Arabidopsis thaliana: one gene and its partner. The protein of the gene in region 2 interacts with the protein of the main gene of each other region in a biochemical or structural test. Each region holds a gene or a part of one and is shown on either strand. Other genes may lie near its edges. The genes, in order: SOS2 and SOS1.

Region 1 (7,993 bases), on a different chromosome or scaffold from region 2:
CTACGGCAACAAAAAAGAAACTGTCATGGGTTTCCTGGAAAAAAATGACAAGACCAAAGAGAGAAGGGGGTTTAGGATTCCGAGACCTGTACCAATTCAACCAAGCACTACTTGCAAGCCAGGTATGGAAACTGCTACAAAGACCACAAAGTCTGCTCTATAGAATGCTTAAAGCCAGATACTTTCGACATGGGAATTTCCTTAGTGCGTCACGAGGCACGAGACCGTCTTATGGATGGAGTTCCCTTCGGTTTGGATGTGAATTGTTGAATCTCGGGACACAGAAGAACATTGGAGATGGTTACACAACCCAAGTGGGCAATGAGCCGTGACTACCAACCACTCTACCCCGGCCACCTCTGTTATTAGCAACGACGGACCCGAAAACAACGGTTTTGGCTTTACTCTGTCCGACTACATCTCAATGAGATGAACAGAAACTCACCGCACTAATCGATCCGATTGACCATCCAATTATCCGGAAAATATATGTACCCCTTATACCAGCACATGACTCATATGTGTGGAGCTTTACAAAGGATTGCTGCTACACTGTCAAATCAGGATATTGGGTAGCAGCAACAAAGAGCACAAGTGAGCCACCTATCACTCTGCCGCTATCTTCACACCCTGATATTGCCGACCGTTTATGGAAACTAAACATTGTCCCCAAATTGAAGCATTTCTTGTGGAGGACAGCTTCGCTTGCTCTCGGGGTTGCCGATAACCTAAGGCGACGGAACATCATCATCAATCCATACCGTGCACACTGTTGCACGGAAGCTGAAACAGGGAATCACATCTTTTTTTCCTGTCCGCATGCGGAAGCGGTATGGAGGACCACTTGCCTAGACACCACCATACCATGTAACTCGCAAACACCCCTGGAAGACAAATTAAGGTACCTCTTTAGGATTCACGACGATAGGAATGTCGATGAATTACACAGGTACCTCCCTTTTTGGATTATGTGGAGATTATGGAAATGCCGTAATGATCTAATATTCAACAAAAAGCTTATTCCGGCACGGGAGACGCTCGAACTGGCAACAACGGACACTCAGGAGTGGATTGAGAATGTCATTAAACAAGTGAACACAATTCCGGCTCCTCACACACAGAGAACAAGAAGAGATAACTGGCTACCACCACCTAGGGGATGGGTGAAATGTAATTATGATGCGTCGCATCATGAAGGAGCTGGAGCCTCAGGACTTGGTTGGATAATTCGTGATTCCAATGGCTTTGTGTTGGACTGTGGTATGGGACAATTTGAAGGACGAAATACGATAGAAGAAGCTGAATGTACATCACTTATCTGGGCAATACAGGCTGCGTGGGGATTAGGATACCGAAACGTAATATTCGAAGGGGATAATAAAACCATCAACCAAGTTATTAATACGTACGGTGCTCATCTTCGACTCAAACACTACATGGGGACAATACAACATTGGAGAAGTGGTTTCATAAACTCGAAATTCTGTTTCACCCATCGTGAACAAAATGCCTGTGCCGATCTATTAGCGAAAAAAGCTATTTTAGGTCCAAATCTCTGGTCTTTTGTATCATTCTTGTCCTGTATTTTTGATGTCTCTTGTAAACAATGATTATGACACTCGTCACTAATAAAGGTTTTAGAAGGAAAAAAAAAAATGAATATCAAAATCAACAAAAAACCATAACCAAAATTTTTTCCAACAATTTTAAAAACAAAAACCCATGCATGTATGTTCATCTAGTTTTTAAAAAAATAATACAAGTGTATATACTGTACTTTGTATATATTATCAAAATGCATGCAAAGATATGAAGATAAAATAGTATAATATTAGATATTTAGAAAGAAATCAATGTACCCCCTTATGCTTTAAGGGACTCATATTTATAATTTACATTAATTTGTTAATTAATGTACTAAGCGCTCTTAAAAGTGTTCGCTTTGATTCTCTAATCAATGTTGTAACGTCTTCATTTGAATTCCTTTGAACCCTTCATGGGCCTCCGAATGCTCGGCCCGTTACCCATTCTCAAACTCATCTCCTTTTCGCTCCGTTGTACAAACTCTTCGGTTCGCTCGGCTTCAACTATGGGCTTCGGTCGAGAGCATGTCCCGTTGACCGTTGTCTTGTTGACTTTTAGGTGGCAAGCTTCGGATGGATCCGAACACATAGTTCGAGATTCGACACCAACAAAAATAACGATATTAATTTGAGTATTAGATTGAGACTTGTGTTATGTATGAATTGATGTTTGTGTTATGAAATGATATTACATGTATCATGATCATATGAGTTAGCGACTTTAAAAATCAAGGTTTATATAGTAAAATATAACCAAAAAGAACCATAATTTAGTTTAATTAATTTGGGTAGAATTTCTCTAATCCCAAAAAAAAACCCGACAAAACCCTATCGAAAGAATCCAAACCAAATGCTCTGCCTAGCTTAAACTCGTATAGTCTTGACTAAATAAAGGCATAAAGCTCATGTAGTCTAGTAAGCAAACTCATATTGGATGTGTTTTGTTAGTACATGTCTTCGCAGGACAAGTTTTGAGAAGTATTGCCATACACAGAGAACAGAGGGATCCAAACCAATGGCCAAAGCAAACTACAAGACACAATCAAATTAGAATACTAGCTCAAGAAGCAAATCTTCCAATCTCCCTGAAGAATAATTAGGTCATTTATTACACAAGTGTACATTTTTATTGGATTTAAGTTGGGATCAAAACGTGATTGTTCTGAGAATCTCTGACTTTGGTATTCCTTCTGTTGCCCTCCATATTATGTTTTCCAGTTTCGAACATAGCTTCTTGTAGAACTGCGATACCACAAAACAAAATATCACTCTAATCCGCAACACAGTAATGATGCAACTATTGTTATTGGATATATATTTATAAACCTTGTGATATTCAAGAGTTTCACCAGCAGCCTTTCTTACGTCTACCATGAAAAGCGATGGTGCCACCTCGTAAATCTGCATGTAGGTTAATTTCAATTTGCTAGATACCCTTAAACTGAAGCAAAGCAAACTTATATTACAATCACAACAAGCAATAATTACCTCTATCACAACAGCTAACTGTCCGGCCTTGATCGAAGATAATCCCTCGAGCCTTGTCTGTTGAGCACATAGACGTAACAAATCATAACAATTGTACTCTCTGCTAACATTAAAAATGATAATTCACACTAGGACTTTCGTTTTTGAACGCCAGAGATATAAACTAAGTTTCCTTGTCAATCTTATCAATCTATCTACACATGCGTTTAACAGTTGAGAGTTTTAAAATAATGCATAATCTCTGTGATAAGTGTAATATGCTAGGAATTCGTTACCTTGAAGTTTCGTGTATGAGACTTAAAACCCATTGAGTTCGCTACAGCCTCAATGTTAGCAATTATCTCACTAGGTTCCCTTCGAGAAACAAAACGGGTTTGCCTTTTAACAAAATCCTGCGAGATCAAAGGATCAGCCATCAATATGCAGGAACATTTTGGATTCCATTTGTATCTACTAATGCCATGCAACCAATCATCTAATGAACTTATAGTTATTATAACAAACTAAGAACACAGCATCATAAGGCAGTCAAAACGGGCAGTCTGAAGAATAGATGCTACCGACATTCTTTTATTCGAAATGGAGATCTCTATGACCAGTAATAGAAAATCAGGTACTACCTGTCGCCTGTCAAATAGTGCAGATAAATTTAAGCCTTGTGATAAGGTAATCATCTCAAAGGCATTCATCATCAGGGGCCCTTCATCATTTCTCTCTACATTCTCCGCTACATAACTGCCCTGTGAACAAGTGCAATTGACAGGTCAACTTAATGAAAAACAAGTAAAAGTAACTTTAGCTAAGACAGATACTGAGGTTTTAGTTTAACAATTGAAGTACAAGTTTTAGAAGAGCAAGAGCCTGAGTTTAAGTAAAACATTCTAAATATGCATTAGAAATTACGGTATCTATATATATCTAGGCTATACCAAAGCTAAGACAATCTTAGCAGGAGATATATATTGATAGGTACATGAACATTGTAATTAGCCCTAGGGGTATTCTGGATTTTGTCTAGGGTTTTTGGTCGAGAATAGAGAATTCTCTTGTAAATCTAAGTCTTCCTAAGGTCTATGGTTTGGCGAATTGAATAAAGAAGCAGTTTACAGGTTTGGTAACTAACACATGCCTACTATTTTGTTCTATCCTGTAGCAAACACTTCTTCTTGGTCATCCAAACGTTCCTAAGAGATCTTAACATTTAAATGGAATTGACCAGCAAAGAGCATATAATGAAGGCGAAGCACAAACCTCAATTCCATCAAAAACTGCACGAATATCATCCAAATTCACTTCTTCTTCTTCCCTTGCTCGTATAGGCACATAATTTAATCTGAACCAAGGATCTTTCTTGATTCCTTGAATTTGAATACGCTGCTCTAATTGAGAAACAATAATAGATAAACAGATATAATTACTAGAACATTAAATATCACCAAAACCTGATAGCTAGGAGAGAACAAAGCAAAATACTCACTGTTTTGGGATTGGGGTCAAGTATCCTATGTATTAAAAACTTCACTTCTGCGGAAAACCACGGTGGACAAGAAAACTCTGCTGCATTTATCTGTAAATAACAATGTGTAAAAGCTCAAAACTAAGGGTGAAATTGCAAAACCAAATCAATAAACGGTTTGACAAAAGCCATGACAAGGAATTCATGATTTCTTCCCGAAAGATATGTTACTTACTTTTCTGTACAACCCTGGAAGATCCGTCTCGGAAAAAGGTAAATATCCAGCCAATATAACGAAAAGAATAACCCCGCAAGACCAAATATCAGCTGCTGAACCATCGTAACCCTGTCCACTAAGTACCTCTGGAGCTACATAGTTCGGAGTTCCACATGTGGTACGCAGAAGTTCTACTCCCTGATTGAGTATATAACAAGTTAATGACCACGTAAGCAGACTGCTGAAGCAGAGATAAGAGCACTTACTTCCTGAGGCAATGCACTGAGTCCGAAATCCGAAACCTTCAGATTTCCATTTGTATCGAGTAAAAGATTTTCTGGCTAGATAACATAACATAGCGACACAAAAATATCAAGTCTGGATTGCAACGCAGTGAGATATTCTGAGGAATATTGGTAAACAAAAACACGTCTTTACCTTTAGGTCACGGTGGTAAACACCCTTGCAGTGACAATGAGCAACAGCATCTACAAGCTGTTGAAAGTATTTCCGAGACTCACTTTCTTCAAGCCTCCCTTTATGAACCTGCATGAAAGATTTCATATATTAAAAAATTAAGTAGAGAGGTTTTAACTAATGGACGCTGCCTACAAGTATGGAAGTTCCGTACAATTCTATCAAAGAGCTCTCCTCCTGTCACAAACTCCAAAACTATATATATTTTCGAAGGACTCGCCAACACCTACATCGGGAAAATCACAAAAAAACAACAGAAGAACAATGATGCAAAAACACTTCAGAGATAAAATTTCGCAGATGCATGGAAACAAACAAACATACCTCATACAACCTCACTATGTTCGGGTGACGAACAATCTTCATTATAGATATCTCTCTTTTTATCTGTAAAAGAGCTTTAAACGAAATCAAAGATCATACCATTGACGCAACAACCTTAGTTTCCATGTAAAAAACAATCCAGAACATACCTGATCAACCATTCTGTTCTTAAGTATTGTACTCTTAGCCATAATTTTGATGGCTACATTATCACCAGTGTCTGTGTTCCTCGCAAACTTAACCTTAGCAAAGGTTCCTTCACCTATTGTGCGACCAACCTCGTACTTGCCCACTCTTCTCATTTTCTTTGTCATTCTTTACAAACTTTTATCTGATCCATTGACCACAAGCTATCAATCAGATTATTCAGAGACTTAGTAAAAACCTCTTTCCTTAAACGTTTATGATTTCGATTTCAATTACTTTACGTATTGTTTGCTAATTTTAGCTCCTACACATCCATATATACAAAATTACTCTGTATCCATAATTTTGATTTCGCAGCATAAATCAACATAAATTCGATCAAGGAAACGACGAAAAGGTAAGGATCAAGATCATAATCAATATATAAAATTCGTACGGCTGGAATTGCGATTGGGCGTAGTCGAAAGAGAATCGTGAAATACCAGAATTGGATTCGCAGAGAAGGGTTGATGAAAGAGGCGTAGGAGAGAAGGAAGGCTCGTGATGCGATTCGCGAAAGCCGTGAATCGTCGATGCGAACGTCCGTGCAGATCCGTTGAGCATTTCGGGTCGGGTTATTTGACTGTACCCGTATACGACCTGAATTAGTCGTTCGGGTCAATTATCCGTTTGGGTGATTAAACTTTTAAAAACTAACATTGCATTTTGAATCTTTCAATTTAATAATTGTGAGGTTTTCAAAATTTAAAAAAGAAAAAAAAAACTAATCTAATATCACTTATCAATTTAGTAAATTATTTTTAAAAAATAAACATATAGTATTTTCAAAATTTATTTTAATTTTTTTCAAATTATCTAGACTATGATTAATCGAACTCAAATTAGTAAAATTTTCTATTTTTAACTACAAATTTTTAACTTCATTTAAGTCAAGCAAGGTTCAAAAAAACCAAGAGAACAAGGATGTCTAAGTTTAAGACAAAGCATACAAAGATACTTTCCAATGCTACAAAGTGATATATAAAAAAGTTCGATAAGGATTCGTGAGAGTTTGGAAACAAACACTAGGGAAAAATTTGGCGTAAGTGATAACACGGTTTATCGACGGTTCATTCACAAAGCAATGGTCAAAAAGATGGTCACGGTCAATATACTAGGTGATGTTGAAGAGGCTTTTATGGCCTAGATTTTCGCCGGCACGAGAAGAGCTTCATCAACAAGGAAGAGGACTATGGTTCTATAGTCGGTTGGGATTTGCTTTAAAGGTTCAAGATCTTTTTTAAAAAGTTTGAAAACTTCTTGATAGTCCTATAGTCGGTTGGGATTCACATTAAATGTTCAAAAATCATACATACAAAGTAACGATGACAATGTCAATGAAAAATTGGCAATGAAGATGATAAGAAGGAATACAAGAGCAAGAAAATAATGAATGTGAAGAGAAATATGAAATGTAGGTGTTGGTGGCTAATTGAATATAAGAAAAAATATTGATAAGAATGAAAAAGTATTACAGTAATATTTTTGCATTATTAAAAATAAAAATAACTATACATTAGTACTTTTGCATTATGTTTTTTTATATAAATAACGTAAATGAAACTTACAAAACAATTCCGTTAAAAAGTTATCAATAGTAATTTTTGATTATTAACTTATGATCATATGTAGGGGTGTCAAAATGGGTCAAAATTCATGGGTCAACTCAACTCAACTCAACCCATGAACCCTAATGAGTTGAAATTTTTGACTCAAATGAGTTGATGAGTCAAATGAGTTGATGAGTCAATTGGTTTGATGAGTAAAATGAGTTAGGTTGTAATGGTTAATGGTTTCCATGGTTTATCCAATTAACCCATCAAATTTTGTAAAATTGAATAAAACCAACTAAAATCTCTAAACCAATGCCAATTTAGGTTTAACCAACACATCTAAACCAATTTAATAAAATTAATATTTTTCCAAATTTCTTAAATATACAAGCAATGAAATTGAGAAAAAGTAAACTCGTAATTTTTCCACCAAAAAACATAAATCCGTGATTTTCCCGCAAAAAAAAGTAAACCCGTGATTTTCTCGCAAAAAACGTAAACCCGAGATTTTCCCGCCAAAAACGTAAACACGAGATTTTCCCGCCAAAAACGTAAACCCGAGATTTTCCCGCCAAAAACGTAAACCCGAGATTTTCCCGCCAAAAACGTAAATCCATAATTTTCTCGCCAAAAACGTAAACCCGTAATTTTCCCACCAAAAACGTAAACCCGAGATTTTCCCGCCAAAAACGTAAATCCATAATTTCCC
Region 2 (9,826 bases):
CTAAAGTTAAGCTTGTATGGAGCACTAACAAGCCTATCCCCATTCAAAACCTCACCAAGAGCTTCCTTCTTATCTTTCACACCCTCTACACAAACCAAAACAAATGCATATTGACACCAAAATACACAAATCCGAAAAAAGTGAAAAACCACACATAACAGAGACAACATTGAGCGTGCTCGTACCTGGAATACAAAAGGGGAGATCGAAATAGCGATACGTCTCACTGCAACAATCATCAAACACAAGTAAAAATCAGTCATATAACAATGCAATCGAAGATCTATCACATTTTAAGAACACGAATCGAATTTTTTCAAGGTCAGATACAAAAATTCAATACCAACGCAAGCTTCTACAGAAATTTGCAACGATCAATTTATCACTCATCAAAGAGAATCACAGATCTAAGCTACCGACAAAGGAACTGAGATTAGAGAATTGGATTTACCTGGGATTGTGAAAGGGGCCGACCTTGTTGGCGTAGAGAGGAACGGAGTCACCGTCCTTGTAACGGTGGTCGGAGGCATCGGATCTGACAGTACCGGCGCCGGAGAAGATGAGAGCTCCGATAAAGAGGAGCAGCGTCGTTGGTAATCTCATGATGATGTGTGTTAATGTGAGAGGAAGAAGAAAATCGTGAGATCTGAGTTTGCTTTATATTTTTGAGAGCAACGCTTATGGCAAAAGGACGATTATATTACTTTTATTTATTTTATCTCTCTTTTTAACGAATTTTCTTCTACTAAATGCTTAAGAAAAAATATTGCGAATAAAAAGCATTATGTAAGAAAATAAAATCTGCGACATTTTAATATTTTTTTTAGAAATTGAAATGATTATTTTTATATATTTTATTTTTGGTTGTTTTCTTAAATCTTCTAAACAAAATTCGTATTAATTCACAAAATTTTAAATTATTTAATACGTTTCGTAAGAAACTTGTGAATGGCAGAGGCAAGTGATATAAACTGAAGCAAATAAAACTTTCTATAATCGATATTTTTTGTTACAATTGTCGTTTTTTTTTTAATAAGTAGCAATTTTCTATTGGTAGAGTGATTCTCTCGTTCTTGTGCTTTCTACTATTTATAGGAGTTTTATTGCATTCCATGTGACTATAACAATCAGTAATGTTCTTTTTACTCTTTAACAAAATCATGATGATGAAGATACAAATAAAAAGGTGGTCAAAAGAAAAAAGATCAATAGTGCCTCGTTTTTTTTTTTCACAATAGTATCTCGTTTATGAAATTGATTAAAGCAAAGCAAGTAAAAAGTATTATCAATTGGAATATAAACCAAATTTTTTGTACATAAAATGAATGATGTAGTAATTTATATACCTGATTATCTTAACTAAACTCAATTTTTTGCAACCAAACCAGATAAATAAGAACACTATAAAATTAAGATGTTAATTACACAGACAATAATTTTATTTATTTATAAAGTTTATTTTTGTAACAGCTCTGATACTTATTGATTTTGCACCTTCTTTGATGGTGGTGGCGAATCATACACTCATCAGCGACCATGATATGTAATCCATCAACGAGTTCTCTCTGAATCTTCTCGCCTGGAACCAGTTTTCCAGAGCATAAACATAAGCCTTAGAACAAAACAAACATCTACTATCCCCTGAACTACTAATGATAGAGTAATCAATGTAAACTCTTTTCCTATTGTAGAATTTACCATTAGACAAATTATTATGCATGTTGTTAGCATCTCTACTCTTGAAAAATCTTCGTAAGCTGATTGGAAAATCAAAGAATAACAAACTAACTAACTAACAATCACTACTCTATAAGCAAATCTTGAATACCAATAGAGATTCTTTATGTTGGATTCTATCTTTGAGCATTTCATTAGGATCGACGGTTGGTCGATTAATCAATACTAACCCAAACAGTCTTTTAACATGCACACTTGATACCTTGTAGGTGCTTCTGGGTAGCATGAAAATGATAATTGGTGTTATTCTGATATGCGAAATTGAAAATGTTGTTGTGCATCAGCTAAGCATAATTGAAAGTTTAAAAAATATTATAAATTTAACGTGAAGAATTGAAAGGTATCAGATTAATGTTTTGGATCAGCCGAATAGAGTCAGGCTAATCCAAATTCTCAAATATTTTCGAAACCTTAAACACATCAAACTCCACGAAGTAAACACACTCACACACATATCAAAATCCACATTATAAATGTATTTTTGGTAGGCTAGTCGTCTAATTCTAAAATAGCCAATTTACATTTGCAATTGTTTATTCAAAAAAGTACAACAGTAAGAGGTCTTATCAATTAAATCATAAGAAAAATATGTCCCAAAATGTCAAAAAACCAACTACGAATATTTCTTTTCCTTTTAAGGCCAAACCAGGTTTTGGAATACTTATTACAAATAAACTCAATTTCAATAAATTCTTGTACACAAATTAAGCACTAATTTCATTGTGAAGATACCATAGTCACATTCACATCTATATGACATCAATCTATAAAATCCAAAACAAACTATATATTATATTTATATTATTTTTTTGTCATCATTATATTTCCATTAATTTATCTAATTCTGGTTCTAATATACTCTTGGTCAGAAAAAATATAAACATTGAAGAATTGGTCGGCTGAAAATTGTGAAAAATATATAGCAGAAAAATATGATAATGTTATCATAAACAAAATTAATAGTAAAATTTAATTTTAATTTAACACTACAGTACTATACACGTGTGTATGTATAGCTCTATAAGTATTTACTCTCTTTCAGCTATTTATTTTTTCAGTGAACGAGCATTCTTCTTCTTCCTCTGTGTTGTTGCTTCTTAGATATATTCAAATAAAATGACGACTGTAATCGACGCGACGATGGCGTATAGATTTCTGGAGGAAGCGACCGATTCGTCTTCTTCTTCTTCTTCTTCCAAACTAGAATCTAGCCCTGTCGACGCCGTTCTCTTCGTCGGAATGTCTCTGGTACTCGGTATTGCTTCTAGGCACTTGCTTCGTGGAACTAGGGTTCCTTACACTGTCGCTCTTCTCGTTATCGGAATTGCTCTTGGATCTCTCGGTTCGATTTCGTTCCATGGAATTTCTGATTTCTTCATCTGTTTTAATCCTTGAAGTCAACGTAATCATGCTTAATTGCTAATTCATGTTGTTTGGTGTTTCAGAATATGGAGCTAAACATAACCTTGGAAAGATCGGCCATGGAATTCGTATCTGTAAGTTTTTAGTTTCGAATTTTTCTTCTCTTCCATGGCTGGCTTTGTAAGAACTATAGAATCAATGTTATTGTGCAGGGAATGAGATCGATCCAGAACTTCTTTTAGCTGTTTTTCTTCCGGCTCTTCTTTTCGAGAGTTCGTTTTCAATGGAAGTTCACCAAATTAAGGTTTATTCCTCTGGCTCTAATTCCTAGTTAAGCTTAAAGGTTAAGAGAAATAGGTACTGAATACTTGCATGATTCTTTAGAGGTGTCTGGGACAAATGGTGTTACTTGCTGTCCCTGGAGTTCTTATTTCAACAGCTTGTCTTGGATCGCTTGTGAAGGTATGAATTAGCCTGGTTGGTATTAAGTAGCTGTCCTGAAAACAAAGAAAGACAAATCGATTATTATGTTATGAAACTATACTTGCTATATGCAGGTCACGTTTCCGTATGAATGGGACTGGAAAACGTCCTTGTTGCTTGGGGGACTTTTAAGTGCTACTGATCCGGTTGCTGTTGTTGCTTTGCTAAAGGAGCTTGGTGCTAGTAAGAAGCTAAGCACCATAATTGAAGGGGAATCCCTGATGAATGATGGGTAAATGACGTTATCTTCTGTCATGGTTTGGTTAGTTTTGACATTTATGCTCACTCTTCATGATTTTTAACAACAATTCCAGGACGGCGATTGTTGTTTTCCAGTTATTCTTAAAGATGGCTATGGGGCAAAACTCTGACTGGAGTTCTATAATCAAATTTCTGCTTAAAGTCGCACTTGGAGCGTATGTCTTGATCTTTTTTCATCTGTTGTTAGTGATATCAAGTTGCTGCTGTGTTCTTATCAGTCCAACGTGTTCTTCTGTCTATTTAGTGTAGGCATTGGTCTGGCGTTTGGCATTGCATCAGTTATTTGGCTCAAGTTCATATTCAATGACACTGTAATAGAGATTACTCTTACAATTGCAGTGAGCTATTTCGCATACTACACTGTACGTCTTTCTGTAGACCTTGAATTCCTGTGCTAAGATATTCTCTTTGTAGTAAAACTGAGAGTTTATTGTGTGACAGGCTCAAGAGTGGGCTGGGGCTTCTGGTGTTTTGACGGTCATGACTTTGGGCATGTAAATTTCAGTGATCTCGTTATTTTTTTTTTCCCTTTCTTTTGTTATCATTTAAGAAGTCTCTTCTCATAAAATAACTGTAACAGGTTTTATGCTGCATTTGCAAGGACAGCCTTTAAAGGTGACAGTCAAAAAAGCTTGCATCACTTCTGGTATTTCCAGAACTTGTGGAATTTGGACTTGTTTTTTTATATTGTAACTCTATGTAAAAGGTTGATCTGTGTGATATAAATTTTCCCGGTAACTTGTGCAGGGAAATGGTTGCATATATTGCAAACACTTTGATATTTATCCTCAGGTAAGGGTAAATTTTATAGACTCATATCATGCTTGTGCTTGCCAACCCTAAAATAGAAGCTCATGGGTAGAAAAAAGAGCTATTTTACTGCAGTCTACTCTTTAGCCTGGTGTTGCAATATTGACTGTGTTTCTCGTTTTATGTTTGCAGTGGTGTTGTCATTGCTGAAGGCATTCTCGACAGTGATAAGATTGCCTACCAAGGTGCCATTATTTAATGTTGATAGTGTACAGTATTTTTTTCCTAGCTAAAGTAAATTTTGTGAACATAGTTTTGTCTGCATTTTCGACAGTTCACTGTTAATTGAAGATGAGATCTAAGTCATTACATAGGACTCCCACCTGTTATCATAGTTTTCTGTCGTTGTTAACACACCTTACTGTTCATGGTCTTTGGTTCTCGAAGGATCACTAATTCCATAACGTGAATCAGTTACAAGAATAAGAAAAAAACTGGCATTATTGGTTACGAAATATTGAGCGAAAGTTACCACTGTGCTAGGACTGAGACAATTGTATTCTTTCACCAGTCTGTTATTATTATTAAGTACCTGTTAGAGATGTACTGTCTTGGAACCATATATTTTTTCTCTGGAACCATATCTGCATAAGGCACATGATATACTTAACTTTAACTATTTTTTATATTTTGGATCTAACAACTCTTCACGACCCAAATTTCTTACAGGGAATTCATGGCGATTTCTTTTTCTGCTATACGTTTACATCCAACTATCGCGTGTTGTTGTTGTTGGAGTTCTATATCCACTTTTATGTCGTTTTGGCTATGGTTTGGATTGGAAAGAATCCATTATACTCGTATGGTCTGGTTTGAGGGGCGCAGTGGCTCTTGCACTTTCTTTATCCGTGAAGGTTAATTTTAAGAACATCTGTTAAAGTTGTTCTTCTCTCTTAAATTTCTGCACAATGTTTTTTTCCAGCCACATTGATTCTGTGCTGACTTACTCGCACTCATTTGATTCAGCAATCAAGCGGAAATTCACATATCAGCAAGGAGACTGGAACATTGGTAAGTTAGTCTAAAGATGTTATTGACAACTTAAAATGATTATGCAAATTATTGTTTTGTCTCTTCATATTCTCAGTTCTTTTGCAGTTTCTTTTCTTCACGGGTGGAATTGTGTTCCTAACTCTGATAGTTAATGGATCCACTACCCAATTTGTTCTACGCCTTCTTCGCATGGATATTTTACCAGCCCCCAAGGTCAAAAACTTCTCTCATACGAATAACTTTCCGAGTTTTAAGTAATCAAATATATGTGTAAACAGAGATTTTTTTGCTTATGCTTTGTATTCATGTGTAAGTGACCGTGTTAGCCTGAGTCTGAGCCTTTAAGCTGTATAGTTCAATAGGGTCTGTATGTTCTAGTCAGTAATGTATTCGAAGAACCTTATTAGAAACCACTTTCCTTTTGACAGAAACGAATATTGGAATATACAAAGTACGAAATGTTGAATAAGGCCTTACGAGCGTTTCAAGATCTAGGAGACGATGAGGAGCTAGGACCTGCTGACTGGCCTACAGTTGAAAGTTATATTTCAAGCCTAAAAGGTTCAGAAGGGGAACTAGTTCATCATCCTCACAATGGCTCTAAAATTGGAAGTCTTGACCCTAAAAGTTTAAAGGACATACGTATGCGGTTCTTAAATGGTAGTTATGATCATGTACCCTCCAATATACTATTTTACCTGGTAGATTATTGACACTTTGAAAATTGGTTGTGTCAGGTGTGCAAGCAACTTACTGGGAGATGCTTGATGAGGGCAGAATATCTGAAGTTACTGCTAATATTTTGATGCAGTCAGTGGATGAGGCGCTTGATCAGGTTTCTACAACTTTATGTGATTGGAGAGGTCTAAAACCACATGTCAATTTCCCAAATTACTACAACTTTCTTCATTCTAAAGTTGTCCCACGCAAGTTGGTCACATACTTTGCTGTCGAAAGACTAGAATCTGCTTGCTACATTTCTGCTGCGTTTCTTCGCGCACATACAATTGCACGACAGCAATTGTATGATTTTCTAGGTATGTACAATCCATACTCTGCAGTCTGCATCACACTTTGAAAACAATGACTAAGAATAAAACTTGTACCGTATCATCATTAATTGTCAGAGTTTTTGTTTGCAAGTATCTCAACTTAGTAAGAACAATACATTAACCCAACCCTAGTTTTGTCTCATACTTATCTATCTTCTCTACACAGGGGAGAGTAATATTGGTTCCATTGTAATCAATGAAAGTGAAAAGGAAGGAGAGGAAGCAAAAAAGTTCTTGGAAAAAGTCCGATCTTCATTTCCTCAGGTTGAGAGTCTTGTCATTTCTTTCGGGTGACTTATCTTTCTTGCGGTGAGGCACATATAATCTTTGATTAACATTGGTTTCAGGTTCTCCGTGTTGTGAAAACAAAACAAGTAACATATTCAGTGTTGAATCATTTACTCGGTTACATTGAAAACCTCGAGAAGGTTGGCTTGTTGGAGGAAAAAGAAATCGCTCATCTTCATGATGCTGTCCAGGTACCAAATTAAAGAATCTCATTCCTTCAACTATAGTCTTGTCTCTTTTGTCTTATGCTTTTGGTCAAATCTATCTCTGCAGACCGGCTTGAAAAAGCTTTTGAGAAACCCTCCAATAGTTAAACTTCCAAAATTGAGCGACATGATCACCTCACATCCGTTATCGGTTGCTCTTCCTCCTGCATTTTGTGAACCTTTAAAACACTCGAAAAAAGAACCAATGAAACTGCGTGGTGTCACGCTTTATAAAGAAGGTTCAAAGCCAACTGGAGTCTGGCTTATTTTTGATGGCATCGTTAAGGTAACCCAAAACTTATCTTTTACTTTTAACTCGTAAGTCTGTATGATCTATTACCTTCATAACTGAATGTTATAACAATCCTACAGTGGAAAAGTAAGATCTTAAGCAACAATCACTCGCTGCATCCAACTTTTTCTCACGGTAGTACATTGGGACTCTACGAAGTCCTCACTGGGAAGCCATATCTGTGCGACTTGATTACAGATTCTATGGTTCTTTGCTTTTTCATTGATAGCGAGAAAATTCTATCACTACAATCAGATTCTACCATCGATGATTTCCTTTGGCAGGTACGTCTCTATTAGAATCCATTTTAGAGAGACTCATTTCTTGATTGTTAAGTTGCTTCAACTTTTTTCGGTTTTTTTTGTTTGCAGGAAAGTGCATTGGTTCTTCTCAAACTCTTGCGTCCTCAGATATTTGAAAGTGTGGCAATGCAAGAATTACGAGCCCTTGTTTCAACTGAAAGCTCGAAACTTACAACATATGTGACGGGAGAATCAATCGAAATCGACTGCAACAGCATTGGTTTATTATTAGAAGGATTCGTAAAACCGGTTGGTATCAAAGAAGAGCTTATATCATCTCCCGCCGCATTATCACCTTCTAACGGGAATCAAAGCTTCCATAATTCATCAGAAGCTTCAGGTAATTAATTGCACAGTACAGCAGGATCAAACCTTTTTAAATGTCAGCGAATGATATAAATCGAATTAAATCAAAAATGTGTTTTGTTTTTTTGACCACAGGTATCATGAGAGTCAGTTTCTCACAACAAGCAACACAGTATATTGTTGAGACGAGAGCAAGAGCAATCATCTTCAACATTGGAGCATTTGGAGCTGATAGGACTCTACATCGAAGACCATCTTCGTTAACACCACCACGTAGCTCAAGCTCTGATCAGCTTCAGAGATCATTTCGTAAAGAACACAGAGGTCTCATGAGCTGGCCTGAAAATATTTACGCCAAACAACAACAAGAGATCAATAAAACGACATTAAGTTTATCTGAACGAGCAATGCAACTCAGCATTTTCGGCAGCATGGTAAAAAAGATCTCAATGTTGATTCTTTTAAAGGTTGTTATCGATGAACTTCTCGACTAACCTGAAGGTTTTTATCTTCTGATATTCTCGAATATAGGTTAATGTGTACAGAAGGAGTGTAAGTTTCGGTGGGATCTATAATAACAAGTTACAAGATAACTTGTTGTACAAAAAACTTCCACTAAACCCAGCTCAAGGTCTCGTTTCAGCCAAATCAGAAAGTTCAATTGTGACCAAGAAGCAGCTTGAAACCCGTAAACATGCGTGTCAGCTTCCTCTGAAAGGGGAAAGCAGCACAAGGCAAAATACGATGGTTGAATCAAGCGATGAAGAAGATGAAGATGAAGGAATCGTTGTGAGAATCGATTCTCCGAGTAAAATCGTTTTCAGGAACGATCTATGAGAATTGAGATGTTTGTAACATAAGAAAACAAAATTGTTAGCTTACTCTTACAGTTTTACTCATTCAAATGTAAAAGCAAAATAATAGTAATAGGCAAAAAAGAAAGAAAGAATAAGCTAGTGTATGTTGATAAAAGTTGTGAAAATCATTTAAAGTTATTAGAATGTATATGCAATTCTGCTTATATTTTCGAGTTGTTTTTTTCACTCAACCGATCAATTGTTATCTTTTCCCTATCTATCACTCGTAATGTAATAAATTTGTTTTTTTTTCTGGGTAAAAGTTTAAAACTATATCTGCCAATTTGAAAACAAAATTCGTATAATATTCGTTTATTCATATTTACATAATCAGTGTTTTAAAAAGCAGTTTAGGCGGACCTAGGCGCAAGACGCTGATGCGACGTCTAAAATCGTGTAGTTCGCCTAAAATCGTTTATACCTTTAGTTTTCAATTAAATTTATATTTATATAAATAGTTATAAAGATTCATATAATGTTTGATATAGTTAAATAAATATTTTTTCTAATTTTTGTTTATGATTTAATATATGTATTTTTTTTAGATATTTATATATAAAATTACATTTATAATATTTATATTATAAATGGTTTAAACGTCTAAAATCGCTTAGATCCTGATCACCACCATGTCTAGCGTTTTCTTAACATTGATCATAATATTTCTCCACTTTCTTTATTTCTTTGGCTACGGTCAATTTTCTTCTTTAATAAGTGGGCTAATAATTTTTCTGTATGTTGTCAAAAAGAAAACGTTGGACCCCGACTCCACTAATAAGGTCAAAACTTCAAAATTCGCATAAAATCTGTAACTATCCAACTAAGCTTATATTGCCACGGTTCGTTAAATACTTCACTCAAGACAAACATTCGAATG

Evidence for each region.
Region 1: of the proteins of SOS1 (region 2) and SOS2, one has a biochemical effect on the other in vitro, tested with the Arabidopsis thaliana proteins (one study listed by BioGRID).

What each region holds. Positions count from the first base shown.
Region 1 is NC_003076.8:13,632,799-13,640,791, reverse strand, and holds SOS2 (Protein kinase superfamily protein), read right to left. Parts: upstream 6,394-7,993; 5' UTR 6,175-6,393; intron 5,877-6,174; 5' UTR 5,860-5,876; coding exon 5,695-5,859; intron 5,609-5,694; coding exon 5,546-5,608; intron 5,448-5,545; coding exon 5,376-5,447; intron 5,291-5,375; coding exon 5,183-5,290; intron 5,086-5,182; coding exon 5,011-5,085; intron 4,943-5,010; coding exon 4,763-4,942; intron 4,639-4,762; coding exon 4,549-4,638; intron 4,446-4,548; coding exon 4,323-4,445; intron 3,812-4,322; coding exon 3,692-3,811; intron 3,464-3,691; coding exon 3,347-3,463; coding exon of another isoform or gene 3,332-3,346; exon of another isoform or gene 3,129-3,331; coding exon 3,072-3,128; intron 2,985-3,071; coding exon 2,910-2,984; intron 2,826-2,909; coding exon 2,730-2,825; 3' UTR 2,417-2,729; downstream 1-2,416. UniProt on the Arabidopsis thaliana protein: Involved in the regulatory pathway for the control of intracellular Na(+) and K(+) homeostasis and salt tolerance.
Region 2 is NC_003071.7:454,217-464,042, forward strand, and holds SOS1 (sodium proton exchanger, putative (NHX7) (SOS1)), read left to right. Parts: upstream 1-2,785; 5' UTR 2,786-2,853; coding exon 2,854-3,079; intron 3,080-3,182; coding exon 3,183-3,233; intron 3,234-3,311; coding exon 3,312-3,403; intron 3,404-3,483; coding exon 3,484-3,561; intron 3,562-3,656; coding exon 3,657-3,814; intron 3,815-3,896; coding exon 3,897-3,998; intron 3,999-4,087; coding exon 4,088-4,205; intron 4,206-4,284; coding exon 4,285-4,337; intron 4,338-4,423; coding exon 4,424-4,489; intron 4,490-4,590; coding exon 4,591-4,635; intron 4,636-4,785; coding exon 4,786-4,838; intron 4,839-5,322; coding exon 5,323-5,507; intron 5,508-5,619; coding exon 5,620-5,664; intron 5,665-5,751; coding exon 5,752-5,859; intron 5,860-6,074; coding exon 6,075-6,306; intron 6,307-6,383; coding exon 6,384-6,683; intron 6,684-6,864; coding exon 6,865-6,962; intron 6,963-7,045; coding exon 7,046-7,177; intron 7,178-7,259; coding exon 7,260-7,478; intron 7,479-7,564; and 9 more. Other genes in the region: AT2G01970 (Endomembrane protein 70 protein family), read right to left, coding at 1-85, 186-226, 452-603. UniProt on the Arabidopsis thaliana protein: Acts in electroneutral exchange of protons for cations such as Na(+) or Li(+) across plasma membrane. Involved in Na(+) and K(+) homeostasis.